3 linked regions of the Arabidopsis thaliana genome follow. The protein of the gene in region 1 interacts with the protein of each later gene in a pairwise test. Each region holds a gene or a part of one and is shown in the gene's direction. Other genes may lie near its edges.

Evidence for each region. The genes of interacting proteins can lie anywhere in the genome.
Region 2: the proteins of ICR1 (region 1) and AT3G11460 interact in a two-hybrid assay, tested with the Arabidopsis thaliana proteins (one study listed by BioGRID).
Region 3: the proteins of ICR1 (region 1) and VAR3 interact in a two-hybrid assay, tested with the Arabidopsis thaliana proteins (one study listed by BioGRID).

What each region holds. Positions count from the first base shown.
Region 1 is NC_003070.9:5,855,281-5,861,450, reverse strand, and holds ICR1 (interactor of constitutive active rops 1), read left to right. Parts: upstream 1-2,900; 5' UTR 2,901-2,998; intron 2,999-3,004; exon of another isoform or gene 3,005-3,140; 5' UTR 3,141-3,203; exon of another isoform or gene 3,204-3,493; 5' UTR 3,494-3,589; coding exon 3,590-3,603; intron 3,604-3,690; coding exon 3,691-4,711; 3' UTR 4,712-4,878; downstream 4,879-6,170. Other genes in the region: AT1G17145 (RING/U-box superfamily protein), read left to right, coding at 1-115, 212-278, 613-679, 762-1,100; AT1G17130 (coiled-coil protein (DUF572)), read right to left, coding at 4,979-5,184, 5,278-5,341, 5,448-5,573, 5,670-5,720, 5,971-6,036. UniProt on the Arabidopsis thaliana protein: Acts as a scaffold, mediating interaction of ROPs with different proteins. Required for primary and adventitious root maintenance, but not for their formation.
Region 2 is NC_003074.8:3,605,655-3,611,612, forward strand, and holds AT3G11460 (Pentatricopeptide repeat (PPR) superfamily protein), read left to right. Parts: upstream 1-2,595; coding exon 2,596-4,467; downstream 4,468-5,958. Other genes in the region: AT3G11450 (DnaJ and Myb-like DNA-binding domain-containing protein), read right to left, coding at 1-1,748; AT3G11470 (4'-phosphopantetheinyl transferase superfamily), read right to left, coding at 4,607-4,686, 4,774-4,903, 5,051-5,155, 5,241-5,396, 5,495-5,596, 5,686-5,753. UniProt on the Arabidopsis thaliana protein: Involved in C-to-U editing of mitochondrial RNA. Required specifically for editing the mitochondrial NAD2 transcript.
Region 3 is NC_003076.8:5,868,205-5,875,422, reverse strand, and holds VAR3 (zinc finger (Ran-binding) family protein), read left to right. Parts: upstream 1-2,640; 5' UTR 2,641-2,751; coding exon 2,752-3,194; intron 3,195-3,275; coding exon 3,276-3,402; intron 3,403-3,520; coding exon 3,521-3,801; intron 3,802-4,088; coding exon 4,089-4,187; intron 4,188-4,286; coding exon 4,287-5,613; 3' UTR 5,614-5,727; downstream 5,728-7,218. Other genes in the region: AT5G17780 (alpha/beta-Hydrolases superfamily protein), read left to right, coding at 6,447-6,864, 6,970-7,218. UniProt on the Arabidopsis thaliana protein: Probable component of some protein complex required for chloroplast and palisade cell development. Involved in C-to-U editing of chloroplastic RNA. Controls a large number of chloroplastic editing sites.

The sequences.
Region 1 (6,170 bases):
AGGCAGAAGGAAGTTGAAGATGATGAAGAAAGAATGCAGAAACGTCTGGAGTCATATTCTTCTAGTTCTAGCACTAGTGCAGCGACTCTTGATACAGAGTATGGTTCTGCTGCAGGTTAGTTCTTCTCTCGGTTTCAACTTTCAACATGTGTTAAATTTTACCACTTTTGTTATTCTTGGTTCGCAATCTCAATCAGTAGCTTTTACGCAGAGGATGATGAGGAAATTGTTTCATCTCAAGAATCATGTCTTCCATCTCACCACCCTCAGGTTACAAGGTTTGTCATTTTCCTAGAAATGGACCTAAATGACTTTTATGAGTATCCATGCCATGGGGTTGTATGAACAGCCTTTTTCTCTATTTAGCTGTTAAATTTCATTTGTATTAGTCCTATCTCTTGAGAAACTTTGATGCTTCGAGAACCGTTACAGTTAAAACTTAAAAATGAACCCCTTCTTAAATTGTCTCTTATTAGTCAGTTATGGTATTACATTTTCAGATCATTCCTTTCTGGCTAAAGTTATATGCACAACGGTAATACGTGTTGGAACTTTGAATCTGAGTGGTTCATATCAGGTGACTGATATGTGGTTATCTGGAAAACTCTTCAGGGACGGTCAGTTTGACTTTGATCTTGAAGATATAATGGTCATGGAAGCAATATGGCTTTCGATGCAGGTAATTTGTTTGGTTAGTAAACTTTGAAGTATATAGCATTTATCTGAATAAGATAAGCCTAACTATTTTCTTTCTTTAACAGGAACCAGGAATTCAGAGAAACACATCACCTGATGATATTTCAGAAAAAGATCGTAATGAGGAACCATCAACTCCGTCATCATCATCTCCATCAGGTGGGCTAGCTTGTGCAATTGCTGTTCTTGCCGAACGTCAGCAAATGGTTGGCGTATCTTCTTCGAATCAAAACGTTAACCTTGCATCACAAAACCTTGTTCCAGACAATGGTAACAACAGTCATTACAATGCCATAGAACAGGATAGTAACCATTACCTTCAAGGAGCAGGAATCAGCTATACAAGATCAGATATGACTGATGATAGCGGCGGTGAGACTTCCAGGGAAGTTACATGGCAATAGAGAGTTCCCAAAGGTAAAGAGGAAAGCTTCAAAGTTGTTATATAGTCTTTTGTTTATATTATGTTAGCGGGAGTGAATGGTTTTAGATTGTTAGTTAGTTTTGAGGGTGTATGTTGATCACTTCATACATGTGCCAATAAGAAAAACCAAAACGATTTTCAATTCCTCCTACAGAAGGTTGGTTGTTTGGTTGTATTATTATGAATGGTAAGCATTGCACAAAAATGAAATGAAGAATATAATTTACAAAAAAGGGGAATATAAATCGTGATTCCGTGAGATTCCATTATTGGTAAAACCTTAGCATCAATGAGGGATTTTGCCATTTTAGCAATTCCATGTATTTTTATCAATGAAAGCAATAGTTTGGAAGAGTTTGTGATGAATGGGGGATTTGCTAAAGGAGTAAAAGAATAGTTAGTTAGTAGTTGAGGAAATGTCAAGAAAGGACGACAAAAATGAAGATACACATGCTTTGGTCTCTTTGATATTAAATGAGAAGAGAGAACATAAATTGAAGTGTGAGTGAGAGTGGTGGTCATCTTTGGGAGTTTAAGGGTTTTTTTAGCCTTGAAGTGATTTACTTAAGAGTTCCTCTACTCACATGCTTTTGTCTTTCATTCTTGAATAAGTACACTTCACCTTTTTCTTACTTTAGAGCGTCCATTTACATTTAATTTCCAACAACTAATAAAAATATGTTTGCTCTAAATTATTTATTATAGTCGCATTTCTACTTTTTGATCAACCCATGTTAGGTCGAATTCTATTGCGTTTATATTCGAAATGGGAAATGATCATATTAAGTTGTTAACAAATATATAATGAAACTGATTTTTTAAGGCCGTGAACTGAATTTTAAGGTGAGTGATTTCGTATAGCATTTTTGAACAAAATGATAGAGCCAGCTACAACTAGTATAGTAACTAATGACATTGACCAAAACATGAAATCCAAATTATTTGGTAACAAATTAACAATAATTGTTTATTGATATGGACACCCATGCCATCAAATATTAAACGGCGATTCAATGCTATCTACATAAAATAATACAATTTGTAATCTCGTTTTCATTTTTTCCTTATAAGAAGCATCAAATTGGTTTCTCGACGTGTTGGAGATCACAAAAAGAAACGTCGAGATTAGAGAAGGTTTATAATAAAATAGAGGTTTGTAAATTGAAACATGTACAAAACCGACAAAAAGAAACAAGAGTGTCAGAAATATTGATATGTAGGTAATATACATGTGTGTGTATTTATGATAAACTATTGAAACTAATTATGTGACATAAATCCACATTTATATGCATTTCTCTGGATATATCTATTACAAAATAAATATACAAAAATTAAATATCCCATATTGATGGTTTTAGGCTTTTAGTGTTAATTCCTGAACTTTATATACATTATTATTACTGATCTTTGAAATTGTACTTCAATGATTTTACCTTGTACTCATTTAAAGGCACATACCGTATATTGATATATATCTAGGGAAAACTCACAAAAACTACAAAATTTACATGATGCTTATAAATTTGAGAAATAACATCTATATTCAATACGAACATTCACATTCACTCTTGTATTAAAATTACATTTTTTAGATCATTTTATAAGATGGTTTACAATATAAAACAAAAGAATGAAACATGCGGACTTTATATACATCATGGTTACGTTACGTGTGTGTATATGTGGACGTTATTACAAGACTTAAAATTATACTTTTGCCCTTCTCCTACCCAATGGTCCCTCGATTTTAAATTTGATCAGCTTTATTTCAAATCTTCAAAAATAAAATAAAACCATTTCTTTCTCTCTCTCTCTCTAGTCTAGGCTTCTTGGATTGAGAGAGTGTCTTCAAATAAAGCTGTCTGTTTCGAAAAGGTACATGCGTTACACTACAACTCTCTATCTCTCTCTCTTCTTTTCTGCTCATTTTTGGGTAATTCTTCTGGTTTTATGTTCTTGTTCCTATTACTGACTCACAATCAGCCAACGCAAATCTTTCTTTGACCATTTTTAATAGTTTCTCTTAGTCACTTGTTGGATTTCAAATGCAAAGTTGACCTCATCTTCTTCTTCTTCGAGGGTAAGTTTTAACTCTTTTTAGTTGGATCCTTTTGCTTATTAAATGTAGCAAACGAACATTAAAATAAAGTTTATAAGTTCCCAGCTTTGACAACTCTCTTCTCTGTTTCTGGTTTTTCTCATTTGAAGATTACTGTCTCTTGTTCTCTCACACATATCATACACTGATACACACGCGCTTTTGACGGCGCGTGATTATAATCATATCTCAGTTCCCCGGAATTTTCCGACATGAGTCATGGCTTTGGTTGTTGCTGTAATAAATGACAACTGATTTTGTTTACGTTTCAGTTTTATACAAGTTACTCCATAAACCTTCGAGCTTCCAGCAACTTTGGCTTCTCTGTTGTGAATTATTGCTTATTATATCCTCAACACGAAATCAAAATGCCAAGACCAAGGTTACGATTTTGACTAAGAAATCTCCATTTTCTCACATGAGTAATGATGTGATTTAAGATTTTTTGTTGTTGTTTGTATTTCTCTAGAGTTTCAGAGTTGTCTCAGAGGCAAGCTCCAAGGCTGAGGTCATCGTCATCTACTTCTGATTCCAATCATTCCAACCGTCTGATCACTACGGATCAAAGTTTTAAGCCCGGTGTTGACCGTAAATCTCCTCGAAGCGGTGGACCTAACAGTGATCCGCTTGGTCAGAAGAAACTTGGGGGACGAATATCGGATCTAGAGTCGCAGTTAGGACAAGCGCAAGAGGAACTGAGATTGCTCAAGGAGCAGTTGGCTAATGCTGAAGCTGTGAAGAAACAAGCTCAAGATGAGCTTCATAAGAAGTCCAAGAAACCAAACCCGCTGGCTCGAGTGGAGGAATCTGCAACTGAGGCTGAGAGGATTGATAGAGACGAAATCCCTGGTGATGTGCAGAAAGAGACTGATGTGTTTGAGGTTCCCGTTGAAAAGATTGCAGTAGAAGAAGAAGAACTGAGAAGCGGCAATGACGAAGCTGAGAAATTGGTTGCAAAGGAAGATGAGATAAAGATGCTGAAAGCTAGACTCTATGACATGGAGAAAGAGCATGAATCACTAGGCAAAGAAAACGAGAGCTTGAAGAATCAGTTGAGCGATTCAGCTTCAGAGATTTCTAATGTGAAAGCTAATGAAGATGAGATGGTTTCAAAGGTGAGTAGGATTGGGGAAGAGTTAGAAGAAAGCAGAGCAAAGACGGCTCACCTGAAGGAGAAGCTTGAGTCCATGGAAGAAGCAAAAGATGCTTTAGAGGCTGAGATGAAGAAGCTCAGGGTTCAAACCGAGCAGTGGAGGAAGGCAGCGGATGCTGCAGCAGCAGTTCTTTCTGGAGAGTTTGAGATGAATGGTCGGGATCGATCTGGGTCAACTGAGAAGTATTATGCAGGTGGGTTCTTTGACCCGTCAGCTGGGTTCATGGATCCACCGGGAATGGCTGATGATTATGATGATGGACTGGGAAGTGGCAAGAGGAAGAGTTCTGGGATGAAGATGTTTGGTGAGTTGTGGAGGAAGAAAGGGCAAAAGTGAGTTACAGATTGTGTGGAGTGTCATTCAAGAAATGGTGTGCTCACCGTTTCTCTCTTTTATTTTGCTGTATTTACCTGGAAGTTTTTGTAAGTGGGTCCGCTTCATCAGAAGCTAACTATCAATCCAAATCAATTGCAAAAACAATTTCATGAACAAATTTCTGAAAATTCTGAAAGATCTCACATATATCGACAGTATAAGAGCTCGAATTCTAAAACAGTGATATGAGATCTGTGAAAGTGCGGAACTTGTCGAGAACAAAAACAATCAATCTTCATCTTCATCACTACCATAATTCTGGAATAAAGAGGCTAAACTGGTGTTAGCCGCACCATCACTCTTCTTCTCCTCTGGTTTTGCAGGAGCCGGAGTTGACGATGAAGTTGGTTGAGGTTGCTTCTTGATGACTTTTATGTGAACGGATTTAAAGGGTTGTTTGCTGATAGCTTGTTTCTTGGGCTCCTTCGGATTTTCTGGTCGTAAATGGAGAAACCCGTTAAACATTATTCAACCGAAAAAAGGAAATCAAAGTCGATAAACTTGAAAGAAAGATTGAAAAAACCCACCTGCAGAAGAACTAGTCAAAATATCTGTGGGGTTGCTTGGACTTACTTCTGTTGCCTTCCTCTTCTGTATCAAAGATAAAAGAATTAACAGTTAGTCCTGATTCCAAAAAATCTGAAACATGATGAGAAGATGAGGGAAATCTGAAAGATATATGTTTTGATAGAGGAACCTTTGAAAGATCTGACGATGATCCTTTCTTCTCCTTCTGAAGGCTGGGATAATCATCGATATCATCATCATCATAATCATCATCAATTTCTTCATCTGCAATTCTCCTAATAACTTCTTTCTGTTTCTGCATTTCAGATGAAACAGAAATATGAAAAAGTTTAGCAAAGCTAGATGTCATGTGAAGAACCAATATTTACGCAAGAATGACATGAACACTTACACCAAATATCGACTTTATAACTGCTTCATCTTCTTCTTCTATTCGTTTTACCTGTCAAAATAAAAAGAAAATAACCATATTGGCTCAGTCAACGAAATAACTTAACATAACAATGGTACAGAACACTTTTGTCAGAGGTACACTTCGATAGAAGGCTTACAAAGAGCAACAAGATGGTTTAGTTATCAAGAAACACGAAAGCTGAAATCTCTGTTTCTTATTTAACTTAAAAACAGTATTCTGTGAAGACAATATCAAATCGCCATAAATATGAAAAAGTAACCGAGTAACAGGAGCATACCTTCTCAGCGCCTGTTCTTTGCAAGGCCTCCAACATTGCATCTACACTCACAGTAGCATGTCTAGACTGCAAAAATCAAAATAATAGAAAATCAGTACCCAAAACTCTTATGTCAGCATGTAACAGAATCATGAAATATAATCACATTTTAAGAATTCAAGAGAGAGCGCGAGGAAGTAGAAGATACAAAAAGGCAGCTG
Region 2 (5,958 bases), on another chromosome or scaffold:
CCTACTTCACCATTGTTGTCTGAGCTTTGACTGCTCGAGCTTTTCCCCACAACAGTCTCTTTAGAGGGCTTTGCATTTGTTGTGGTCGTCATTGTGGGTAGAGATTCTCCGAGCTCCTCTCTTGTGGAGAGAGGGGATGTGATTGAAGCAGAGGGTTTCCTCTTCTCGAGGAAAGAATCGAATGCTTTAGCTGAATCTGGTTTTTGCAGGAGAACTGTTTTAGTTGCTTTCAGAATTTCCTCTACAGATCTTCCTGTACCAATGTACTCTGAAATAACTTCCCATCTCCGCGATGTCCCCTTTGGATATTTTATCATTCCTTTTCTCAGCATATCAATCTCTTCCTTGCTCCATGGTTGTTTCTTCTGAGTGCTACTATCTAACTGTGAAACTCGGGTTGTAGGCTCTGTGCCACCGTTGGTCTTCTTACTTACTTTTTCTTTAGATTCGGCTTCATCATTTCTACTACTGTTGCATCCATCTTTGATCACCTTTGCCAATTCTAGTCCTTCTTTGTTTCCCATTTTATCACATAGATTCTGCAACTGCTCGGTGTTAAGTGACATGCATAGATTCTCTATATCTTCCTCAGAGATGTCAAGCAGACGCTGAGCCACGAGAGGAGCTGAGAGAGTTCTAAGACGATTTCGTTCTTTGCGTAAGAGCTTCTTCTCTCTTTCCTTAGTTTTCTTTTGTTGTTGTGCAGATTCTGCTGCTCGCTTTTCTTCTTCTTCTTTTCGCCTTTTCTCTTCTTCAGCAGCAATAGCAGCGTCCTCTTCCTGCTTCTTCTTGGCCTGAATTTTTGCATCTTTTTTCTGTTGCTTCTCAGCCTTTTCTTCCTCTTTTCTTTTCACAATTCTCGGGTCTTTTCTATACGCATTGTCAACAAGAGTCCTGATTCGAGCATGCTCCTCCTTTCTAGCCTTCACAGTTTTTTTTGCATTCTCCTTTTCCATCCACCTACGTTCTTCACGGGAATCTGCTTGTTCAAGATCATGCTCCTCTTCATCAGGAAATTCCCTCCAACTCTTGAAAGCGTACCAAAAGTTGTAGAACTTATCAACATCTTTAAGTGGTGTGTTTTCATCTCCCAAATCTGGAATACGCTGATTCACTGACCACCTAGCATTTCTCTTAAACGCTGGACCAAACACCTTGAAAAAGTCTTGCGGCAAGCAATCCGATGGGACCTCGTCATCAAACTCATCAGTGGAGTCAAAAATTCTTCTCCTAGTTGGGTCCATCAATACCTCATATGCTTCTTGAATCGCTTTGAAGCGAGATTCAATCTCATCTTTTTTTGCCTCCTTGGCTTCTTCTGTTTCCTCTAACAGAAGGAGACTAGCGAGTTTATCAGGATGATGCTTCAATGCAGCTTCACGATAACTTTTCCTAATCTGATCTTCCGTCGCAAGATATCTTAGATTGCTCAAACCCAACAACGCATAGTGGTCTTGTTGCTGGGTACCAGACTTCTTCTTTCCTTTGTTGGCATACGAGTTGAATGAAGGAACATATTCCTTCTCTTTATCATCTCCCACTTTCTTATCACCACCTTCATCGTCTGTGGGTTCTTCTGCACAACCATGCAGTTTAAGCGCAGCAGAATGGAAGGCATGACCAGCAGGTTCACGGTTTAAAGCCTTCACAGGAAGACAATTGGAAAAAGCAAAGAACGGTTTTCCATCCACAAGCTCCTCAGAGTACGTAATTAGCCTAATAGCAGACTCACTTCTCCGGCTCGGCATGATGAACAGTTTATACGAGCTGCACCTTACTCCAAGTGAATATCCACCCTGATTTCTGTCGCAATGATTAAGCATTAACCAAGTAAACGAGAGAACAGCACAATAAACTCCAGATGTTACACAAAGGCTAATGGTTTCACAAGGCCTGGTTTAAAAACACATTGTTTTCGCAAGACACTGATCAAAGCTACTAATACAACTCCGAGTATGAAACTCCATAAAAATGACGAAAAAGAAAGGAACATGATCGCAAAATACATCTCATAAGAACCCTAGAAACCAATCATACTCCTAAGGTTAGTTATTAGTTATTACTCAGTACCATCAATTGTCTAATCTAGATTTTCTACTATCAGCTTATCCTCCCCTTATGCACAAACAAAAGATGATCTTATTCAATCTTAAGATATTTCACGAATCAATCAGATAACATTCGAAAACCACTCAGCTACCATAAGTAATAAAACAACAGTGATTAAACCGATTCTCTTACCAGAAACTGAGCTCCTAGTAACCCCGATCCGTTGGTCGGAAGCTGCTCCGGCTATTACTTGCCGCGCGAGCTTCCCTCCAACCTACGGCGGTTGAGAAAGATGATGAAGAAGAGAAGGTTTAATCTGGTTTATTGAGGAAATAGCGGCGGCAACGATTTCCAGATGGAGGAAAGTATCTGAGAAGAAGAAATGGTCTATCACAGATTAATACCCGTTTGGTTTTACGTATAACTCTATTCCCCCAAATTTTCGGATTACTTTGGGCTACAGGCCCATACTATTTGGGCCTTATTCTCATAAAAATTAGAACTATGCGTTTTAACCCAAACAAGTCATAATCAGCGCGGGAGACCATGATCGTCGTTACAAGCTTTGTACGGAACTCCGCCGTCGCTGCGGTGGCTTCGACGCCATGGAACGTACGTTTGAGAGAGCTCGCATATCAGTCATTGTTTTCTGAATCTATATCTCTTTACCGGTCAATGCTCCGTTCTGGTTCTTCTCCCGACGCGTTCTCTTTCCCTTTCATTCTCAAGTCTTGTGCTTCCCTTTCGCTCCCTGTCTCCGGCCAACAGCTACATTGCCACGTGACCAAAGGCGGTTGCGAGACTGAGCCGTTTGTACTAACGGCTCTGATCTCAATGTATTGTAAATGCGGTTTGGTTGCAGATGCACGTAAAGTGTTCGAAGAAAATCCTCAGTCAAGTCAGCTTAGTGTTTGTTACAATGCTTTGATATCTGGGTACACAGCAAACTCGAAGGTCACTGATGCTGCGTATATGTTTCGTAGAATGAAGGAAACTGGTGTGTCTGTGGATTCAGTTACAATGCTTGGGCTTGTCCCGCTATGCACGGTTCCTGAATACCTCTGGCTTGGGAGGTCTCTTCACGGTCAATGTGTTAAAGGAGGACTGGATTCTGAAGTAGCTGTTTTGAATAGTTTCATCACAATGTACATGAAATGCGGGTCGGTAGAAGCTGGTAGGAGGTTGTTTGATGAGATGCCTGTGAAGGGTTTGATTACTTGGAATGCTGTGATTTCTGGATATTCACAGAACGGGCTAGCTTACGATGTTCTGGAACTTTATGAGCAGATGAAATCATCGGGTGTTTGTCCTGATCCTTTTACATTGGTTAGTGTTCTGTCTTCTTGTGCCCATCTTGGAGCTAAGAAGATTGGTCACGAAGTAGGGAAGTTAGTAGAATCCAATGGTTTTGTACCAAATGTTTTTGTAAGCAATGCATCGATTAGCATGTATGCTAGATGCGGTAACTTGGCAAAGGCACGTGCTGTTTTCGACATCATGCCTGTAAAAAGCTTAGTTTCATGGACCGCCATGATTGGTTGCTATGGGATGCATGGAATGGGAGAGATTGGGCTTATGCTTTTTGATGATATGATAAAAAGAGGCATAAGACCAGATGGGGCGGTGTTTGTAATGGTTTTATCTGCTTGCAGCCATTCAGGGCTAACGGATAAAGGTTTAGAGTTATTTAGAGCGATGAAGAGAGAGTATAAGCTGGAGCCTGGTCCTGAACACTACTCTTGTTTAGTTGATCTACTCGGAAGAGCTGGTCGGCTAGATGAAGCCATGGAGTTTATAGAGTCAATGCCTGTTGAACCGGACGGTGCTGTTTGGGGTGCTCTATTGGGTGCTTGTAAAATCCATAAGAATGTGGATATGGCAGAGTTAGCTTTTGCAAAGGTGATTGAGTTTGAACCCAATAACATTGGCTACTATGTATTGATGTCAAATATATATTCAGACTCGAAAAACCAAGAAGGAATCTGGAGAATCCGGGTAATGATGAGAGAGAGAGCATTCAGGAAAAAGCCTGGGTATAGTTATGTGGAACACAAGGGAAGAGTTCACTTGTTTTTAGCTGGCGATAGAAGTCATGAGCAAACAGAGGAAGTCCATAGAATGTTGGATGAGTTAGAGACTTCTGTGATGGAGCTTGCGGGAAACATGGACTGTGATAGAGGCGAAGAGGTTTCGAGCACTACCCGTGAGCATAGCGAGAGGTTAGCAATAGCTTTTGGGATTCTCAACAGTATTCCAGGCACAGAAATTCTTGTGATAAAGAATTTGAGGGTTTGTGAAGATTGTCATGTGTTCCTCAAGCAGGTTAGCAAGATTGTAGATCGCCAGTTTGTTGTAAGGGATGCATCTCGGTTCCACTATTTCAAAGACGGGGTCTGCTCGTGCAAAGATTACTGGTGATCTTCCAAGTGTCTCACAAACATGATGGTCCAATAATAGGCTACTTTTATTTTTCGCTTGCACAGAATGTATACTACAGAGAGGATGTACTCAAAACAGAATGATTACAGAGAAATCTGAAGGTTTAAGGCTACACTAACTAAAGAAGTTTGCTTTCAGATATAAGTTCATCTTCTACAAACGGGATGGTTTTTCGGACAATCACCCTCATAGGAGCTCCTGCAAGAAGGAAAAAGATGTGATGAAGAAATTACTGAATAAAATGGATTTTTCAGTATCAAGAGATATGTCAACTGAAAATTGCACCTCCACTAGCTTCATCATCTTCAATACAGATTGCAGCATAATGAGAATCATCCAACTCCAAAAGGGAAAACTTCCATTCTCCATCGCATTTGTTTGTCTCCTCCAGCGAACTTGCAGTCATTTCAGTCATCTAGAGAAAACAATCAAGCGTCTTTAATTTTACCACTACTGTATGTATACTGCAAATGAAATTTCAGAAAGTGTACAACACAAAAACTAATCGCATTTGATAAACTCCTTATTCAATTCCACTGTGTAAATTAAGATCAAAACAGACCTTGCAAAGATTGTATTCTCCTTTTGTTCCAACCTTGGACTGGATTGTGAAGGTATTAAAAGGTGCAGCAGAAAAGCCTTTTCCTAATGCTTTCACATATGCCTCCTGAAAGAATCATCACAACAGTTTTAAAACTTTTGATAAGCTACAATTTTCAGGCTCAAGTAAATGTGTTGTTAGTAGAAACTACCTTTAGGGTCCATAACTTAATAAATTCCTTTCTCTGAACTTCAGGGTCCGGTAAAGTTGACAAAAACTTGACTTCATCAGCAGAGTAAAATCTTTCTGCAAATGCTAAGATATCATGTTTAATCTTCCTTTCCTTGTCTTCAACATCGATACCAACCTACAGTCGTTGTAAACTGCAACTGTTCAAATTTAAAAACAAGAAACCACTAATTTTGGAAGAAAAACTGGAGGCATTTGCTTGAATAGAAGACTTACCGGAACGTGTACAGTCACCCCACAGGCAATTAATGAATCTGTGTGAGAAATGTTGAAATGCAATGGTGGATTATTACAGTTCGTATAATTCTGCCAATCTACCTGTAAAAATTTAAACAAAAACAAATGAAATTTTGCCCCTAAGCCGAGACTAAGAGTTAGTCTAGTATAATCCCACAAAACTGTCTCACCTCAGGCTTCCCATACATATTCTTCTTGAACATCAAGGCCTTAGGATCGACTTCATTGTTTGTCTGATCTAGTAATAAAACCACCATTACAATTAATACTATCCAAACTCGTTAAAATCTAGAGTTTCTATAAGAAAAGTTCAATCTGCAGGTAATCACCAGATGGTAAAAACAGTAAGCTTCACAGATTCTTGATGAACTGAATAAAGAAGAATTAAGTTTTCTTTCAAATAAAGTTTTACTAGGCCATAACCTGAGAGACTTGTGTCATAT
Region 3 (7,218 bases), on another chromosome or scaffold:
AACCACATAATTTTGATGGATTAAAATACTAGAGATTAAAGAGAGAAATCATGTAACTGAACTCGAACTAGAATTAAATTCAACAATAATAAATGAAGAATAAAACAAATATAACACGAATAGACGTTAGAAACCAAAGAAACGACAGAAAAGTACCTAAAGTTTTTTATTTATTGTGTCTTGTTTTTATGTGAGTTTCGGTTATGGGAACGGTTTCGTTAATTTTGAAATCTTCTGTTGACGACAAAAAAAAAGTCTTGTACCGACGTGGAATGACGACATCATTGGCTGTTACACACGAGCGGATCGTGTTCTTACCTAACACGTGTACCGTCCTCACGAATTTCAGTTTCCGGTTCATAGAAAAGTTCCCCGAACCGTTATGGACCAATTCCACTTTTCTTTTGTTTTTTTATTAAGATACTTTGAATGATTATTATTTAATAACATTTTTGCAAATCATATTCTCGACTATGGAAGAATTATTTTTTTCCAACGACCATGAAAGTGGTCTGTAATTTGAAAGATTGTTGTATAATTTTGGGGTAAGAAGAGATAATATTAAAGACATACCGATAAACAAACATATATGAAAGATGTGGAGTATATGTAATATGTTTCGGGGGATAGATATTTTTTGTTTCGTTTGGGTTGCCATTTATTTTACAGCTATTTTATAAAAGTAATCGATTTTTAATGAGGGAGTTGTTTCATCAAATACTATCGACTGTATTTTAGGGGTTACATTTAAGATTATCAAAACTTCGACTTAAATTCAAACGTCTAATATAAAATTTTATGTGAAGTTGTTTAATGGTCCGATTAATAGCGCAAGACGGTAAGAGCTTTGTAACTGTACAAAATAGTGATAAAAATGGTGGTATGGTTGAATATGGTAAAAATGATAAGAGATGAAAAATGGTACGATAAGAAGTCGTTAGACCAAAAAACTAGCTGCATATTGAATTAGTTCGAATGAATAATAGGATTGCTTTTTCTACATAGTTCTGAGGTTACTTCTCTTTCGGTAGTTCGTGGATCCATCGGATCATGTTCGTCATTTGATAAAGTCGTCGGTGAATTTTACGAAATGGTTAGTGGTTATTGATCATTGTTTAACCACAATTTCTAACACTCTCACTTGTACGATTAAAGTTAATGGAATTGTGTTTTTCTTATCCTTTTAAAATTTGAGACAATCTTTCAATAGACCCAGAAAACAAAAGGTGGCGAGAAAAGGTAACTTCGAAACTCCAAGCGCTAAAATAATGTTCGGATAATCATGATTCATGAGATAAGTCACACTAATTACATTAACATAGAAAAAGTTTCTTTAAAACTTCTTGATTAGTTTTAAAGAAGACACTTTAACTAATTTGAGGAATTTAGGGCTTTATCTCATGATGTAATGACATAAAGTCTCTTTATTAAAATTGAATTTTAATTACAAATCATGTCAAAGTTGTTAGCCCGTCCATTGCACTTGTGGCATAGAACTAAACATGTCACATCAAAGTATAAATAGTAATTAATTATGATAAAATACATTTCTAGGGGAATTAATGAGGTTATACCTTACGGACTTAGATTGAAGTCATTATCAAGGCAGTTAATTGTCTACGTACTCACCAATATTTTACTCCACATAGATCTAAACAAAGAAATTAGTTATTACATTATAAATAGCTTAGTGTATGTAAAAGTGTTAATCAGAATAAACATTAGTCAAAAGTTGACGGCAGTGATCGGCAACTAATCCACACCCAACTTTAACTCACAGTGACTCCCACGTTCAAGAGAACACAAATATTATTCTCTCCTTTTTAGTTCCACTGATGTTTTAATTTTCGTTTCTTTCGTTTATATAAAACTATATTCATAACGTATTATTTTTTAGTTAATTTTTATTTCTTAGGTTTTATTATATATTGTAATTGTATAAGTTCTGAAACCAAGAAGTACTAATACATAATAAATATAACTATTTTAGATCCTTGACATAGCTTTTTTCTATAGTATATGTAAAAATAGTCTATATCATCTATTATTTTCGAAAGTTGTAAGTTGTAACATATAAACTTATTAATTTAAGAAAAACAAAAGTTAGAAATTAAATAACGTATGTGAATTGAAATCTCTAAACAAGTAAACATCACTTATTACGAACATATGTAGAAGTATAACTATAATCGAGGTTTGTTAAGTAAGTGAAAATTCAATAACGGAGAAATGTATGACTATAAATCTTTTAAAGTTATAGCGGCTTTAAGTCAAAAGAAATGTATGCATGCGTATGACATTGTACAATGTACACTTCAACTTTTCAAGTCACGAAAATTGATGTCAAATCGACGTGCAATTTGATAAATACCGAATCTGCAAACTCCTTTTTATATTGTATAAACTGAAGATTTCAACATAAAACTTACGCTTATCTTTAAAACATCTCTTAGATTAGATTACTATCAGTTCGTTACTTGGGTTAATTCCATTATTAGTACGAAACCATTTACTTTTTCTTTAAGAGACATCCCATTTGAATGAAATACATTATTTACCAAAGTTACCAAACATTCATAATGGCAAGCCCAAGTAGTAGCACACAGAATTATGGGCCTATGTTAGCCAATATGGGCTTATTTTTTTCTTCATTTTGCAATTATTTTGCGATTTATTAATCCTTTTTTTTTCCTTAAACATCACTGAAATAATTCTCGCCGGTAAAAATAAAACCAGTGACGACGAGCAACGATGAACAACTCCACCAGACTCATCTCCCTCTTCTCTCCTCATCCTCCTCCTCTCTTTCTACTCCGTGGTCTCTACATCAGCCGCATAGCCAATCTCCGCCGTTTCCACCGCCGTGCGTTTCCTCCTTCGTCCGTTGCCTCAACCAATCTATGTTCTTTCCGTCCACTCGTGTCATTGCCGCCGCTTATCCCCACGTTTCCTATAGGACGATTCTACAATCACCAAGTCCGTGTCTCCGCCGCAGATTTTGTTCCTTCTTATCACAACCAGCAGCTACCTGAATGGACAGAGCTACTCCAATCTCTCTCCAAAGCTGGTTACTTCTCAGATTCCGGTTCGATTTCTGGTTTAGAAAGTGAATTCTTTCCCGGTTTTCCTGATGAACTTCTCCGTCCAGCTCTTGCTTGCTTAGCTCTAGCTCGTGAACGACCAGAACTGCTTGAGTAAGTAATCTGCAATTTTTTCTCTTTCTCTTTTTGGATTGATTCTCAATCTGAATATCTGATGATGTTAGTGTTTATTAGAATGCTTTCGAGGAGAGACGTTGAAGTGCTGGTGGAGAATGGAAAGCCATTTTTATTCAAGACAGGTCCAGATTCACTTAAAAGGATGAGCCTTTACCTAAGAAGTGGTCTTCAGGGCATTGGTAAGGTAAGTTCTATCTTCTGGCAAATGCTTAGTCTTTTATTGGTGAATGCTAGGTTATGTCTAAACTTGGTTCAATGGTGATTTGTGCCTCAAAGTTATGATCTTTTGTGTTTTACATTAGTTGATGGATATGGAGAAGGCGAGTACAGTTGATTTGATGAGGCTTATTTTGAGTTATGTTGTGGATGTTGCTTCTTCTGAGGAGAGCAAACAACATAACAAAGAGATTATGGAGTCATCGGTTCGAAGCCTCTTGAGTCAGATAGCGAAGATGAGCTTGCGTCCTCCTGAGTCGAATGTTCATGACACGATGCAAAATCAGTACTCAGATAGAGATGGACAAGGAGTCAGGTCTTTTCAGAATAACGTTGAGATGAAACGTGGTGACTGGATTTGCTCGAGGTATGAATTTGTTGGATTCTCAGTAGCTTTTTGGTGTAAATCTCCTATGGCCTTTTGGTTACCATTCTTCTATGGAAAGATATAAGTAGGCCTAGATATAAGGATACCATAAAAAAAAATCTTCTGGATCTGAGCTTGAACAAGTATACTTCTGACTATTACACTAGTATTGTGGTCGAAAGATCTTATTTTTAGAGCTAAGAAGTCAGTATGGTGTAATTGTCTTTGTTTCATCATCTTGTCGTTTAGGGAATCTATATATATGATGTGGGAATTTGTTGAAACAGGTGCAGTGGCATGAACTTTGCGAGAAATGTCAAATGCTTCCAGTGTGATGAAGCAAGACCAAAGAGACAGCTTACTGGTAGTGAATGGGAGTGTCCTCAGTAAGAAACTGATTTTTTCTCTCTGCTACTTTATGACTAATGCGATGAGGAATGATGAGGTTAACCTTTCCTTTCTTTCTTGGTTGTTTCACTTATCAGATGTGATTTCTATAATTACGGGAGGAATGTAGCTTGCTTAAGATGTGACTGCAAGCGACCCAGGGACTCTTCACTCAATTCAGCCAACTCTGATTATTCAAGTGACCCTGAACTTGAGAGAAGACTGGTCGAAAACGAAAAGAAAGCACAGAGGTGGCTTAGTAAAGTAGCACAGGGTGGTTCTGATGCGAACAGTGTTGATACAGATGAAGATTTCCCAGAGATTATGCCTTTGAGGAAAGGAGTGAATAGATATGTTGTTAGCACGAGGAAGCCACCTCTTGAGAGAAGGTTGGCTAATACTGAGAACAGAGTAGCTACAGATGGAAACTCGAAAAGGAGCGACGATAATGCTTTGGGAAGTAAAACAACTAGGAGCTTGAATGAGATTCTTGGTTCTTCATCCTCTTTGACTTCTCGTTCTGATGACAAGAATGTATCTTCCAGAAGGTTTGAATCTTCTCAGGGAATAAACACCGATTTTGTTCCTTTCGTGCCATTACCTTCGGATATGTTTGCCAAGAAACCTAAGGAGGAAACACAGATAGGTCTGATTGACAACATCCAAGTGGATGGTTTCTCAGGCGGCAATCAAAATGTCTATCAAGAGGACAAGTCAGATGCAAATCACTCTGGCAAAGAAACAGATCGCCTTGAAAAGGAAGATCACAAATCAGAGGAACCTGCGAGGTGGTTCAAACGGGTCACCGAACTGCACAATGTTTCAGACTTGGAAAGCGCAATACCGCAAGAGATTTCTCCTGAGAAAATGCCTATGCGAAAAGGAGAGAATCGGTTTGTAGTGAGTAGGAAGAAAGACCGTTCACTGACTTCTCCAGCATACAAGAGGCCAGAAGATTCAGACTTTGTCCCCTTTGTCCCTTTCCCACCTGACTACTTCGCCAAAGAGAAACAACCCAAGGAATCAATAGATACTCTTCCAGCTCCGGCGACAGAAAACGTTTCTCAGGTAGTACAACAAGAACCAAGAGAACCTTCAATCAACAAATCTGATACAGTGGCAGTGAAGATCAGAAATGGAAAGAGCTTGGAGGGTTCGTTAGTGAAGGAGTCAGACTTGTTGGACATGTCAGAGGAAGCAAAAGCAGAGAGATGGTTTAAGAGAGTGGCTGAGATTAAGAACATATCAGAGCTGAGTGAGATCCCAGACGAAGATTTCCCGTCGATAATGCCGATGAGGAAAGGAGTGAATAGGTTTGTTGTCAGCAAGAGGAAAACTCCCTTGGAACGGCGTTTAACTTCTCAACGACACCAGAGAAATCCTCATATCACCAACTCTGATCCCACTGGTAAAGGAGATAAATGACCATGTAGCATAACATTTTTTCGGAGTAATATTACCATACGATTTTTGTATTTCTTTAATTCAACTTCTATATACACAATGTGTAGAAACTTTATTCTCCATCTTTACCGACGGCATCCTTTAGAAGTCGCTGTGTTTCTTCTCTCCTCCTGCACACAACAAAATCAACATTGCTATAATACATCAAACGTTACCACAACAAGCTTTTGAAGAATCTTGGATGGATGATACTGATACCATTAATATAATAAAGTTAATGCACACAAACATCTTAATGTCCTTCACAGCTTGCTTTCGCTGTTGAATTTGAAGTTCCATAATGTGAATAAGCTTTGGTCTCGCCTTGATTAAAAGAAACAACACAAATATATATACAGACAGAATGTTGTGAATATAAACGTAACACAAAGTGATGAAACATGTTGTGAATGAAAAGAGATCGTTACTTGGTGAGGCAGTAAAGAATTGAGAAAGTAATGCAAAATATTAAAGATTGAAGATATATCAGCAAGCTCCAAAAGGAGAGTTATAAGCAAAACCGAAAACACGTCGTTAGAGGCAAGATTTAGAACGAGAGGCAAGATTTAGAACGACGTCGTTTATGATATCTGCGGGTAAATCAGGCTCCCCTATTTTGGGCCTGGGAAAGCCTTCGGGCCTTTTTACTTAATAGTAACATATCCGTAAGATTTTCCGACCAAAAGAAAAAAAACATATAACATAATTGTAGTGCATGCATCTAAACTTTGGTAATAAATTCGAAACTTCTCTCATGCGACGTGGCTTAACCACTCATCTCAATTTCTCCCACGGTCTAGATTCTCTCCGCTTCTATGTCTTTCCCGAGAAAATTCGGGACAGCGATTCACGCCGCTCTATCTTTTATCGTCTTCTTTTTCTTGGACCTCCTCGACGCGATTCTCTGTGTCGTTTACGAGTTCGTCGATGAGATTTTGGAAGAAAACTCAACAGGTTGTTACTGCACGGCGGCGGCTCCTCAAAGTCAAACCACCGACGAAAATGAGTTGTCGTCGGAGACTTTATTCGGGAGGAGAAACATTTTCCGGGGAATGTGGTTTCTGGGATTCGCGAGAGAATTCAAATCCAAGCTTTCCCGGAAACTGAGAAAATCTAAGATTCATCAAGAGTCAGTGAATCGATGGTCAGATTGTGGATGCAAATCTTGCAAGTCATGGACTAAGAACGAAGATGGGAATCTTCACGTCGTGGTCAAAGATTCTACTTCTCGAGGTTAATAGATTAATTATAACATTTTAATATTCTATTAAATCTTTGCATTATGATTAGTTAATAATGTTCTTTACTTAGAATTGCTTTTGATGTTTCATTTTGAAGAAACAGAGTACTCTGTTCAAGAACCGTCCGAGAATGTAATATTCATACACGGTTTTATGGGGTCATCACATTTTTGGACAGAAACTGTATTTGAACACATTCAAAAAGATGATTATAGGCTCCTCGCGATCGATCTTTTGGGATTCGGGGAGAGTCCTAAGCCAAGGGATAGTCTCTATACATTGAAAGATCATGTGGATACGATAGAGAGATCTGTCATTAAGCCATACCAATTAGATTCTTTTCATG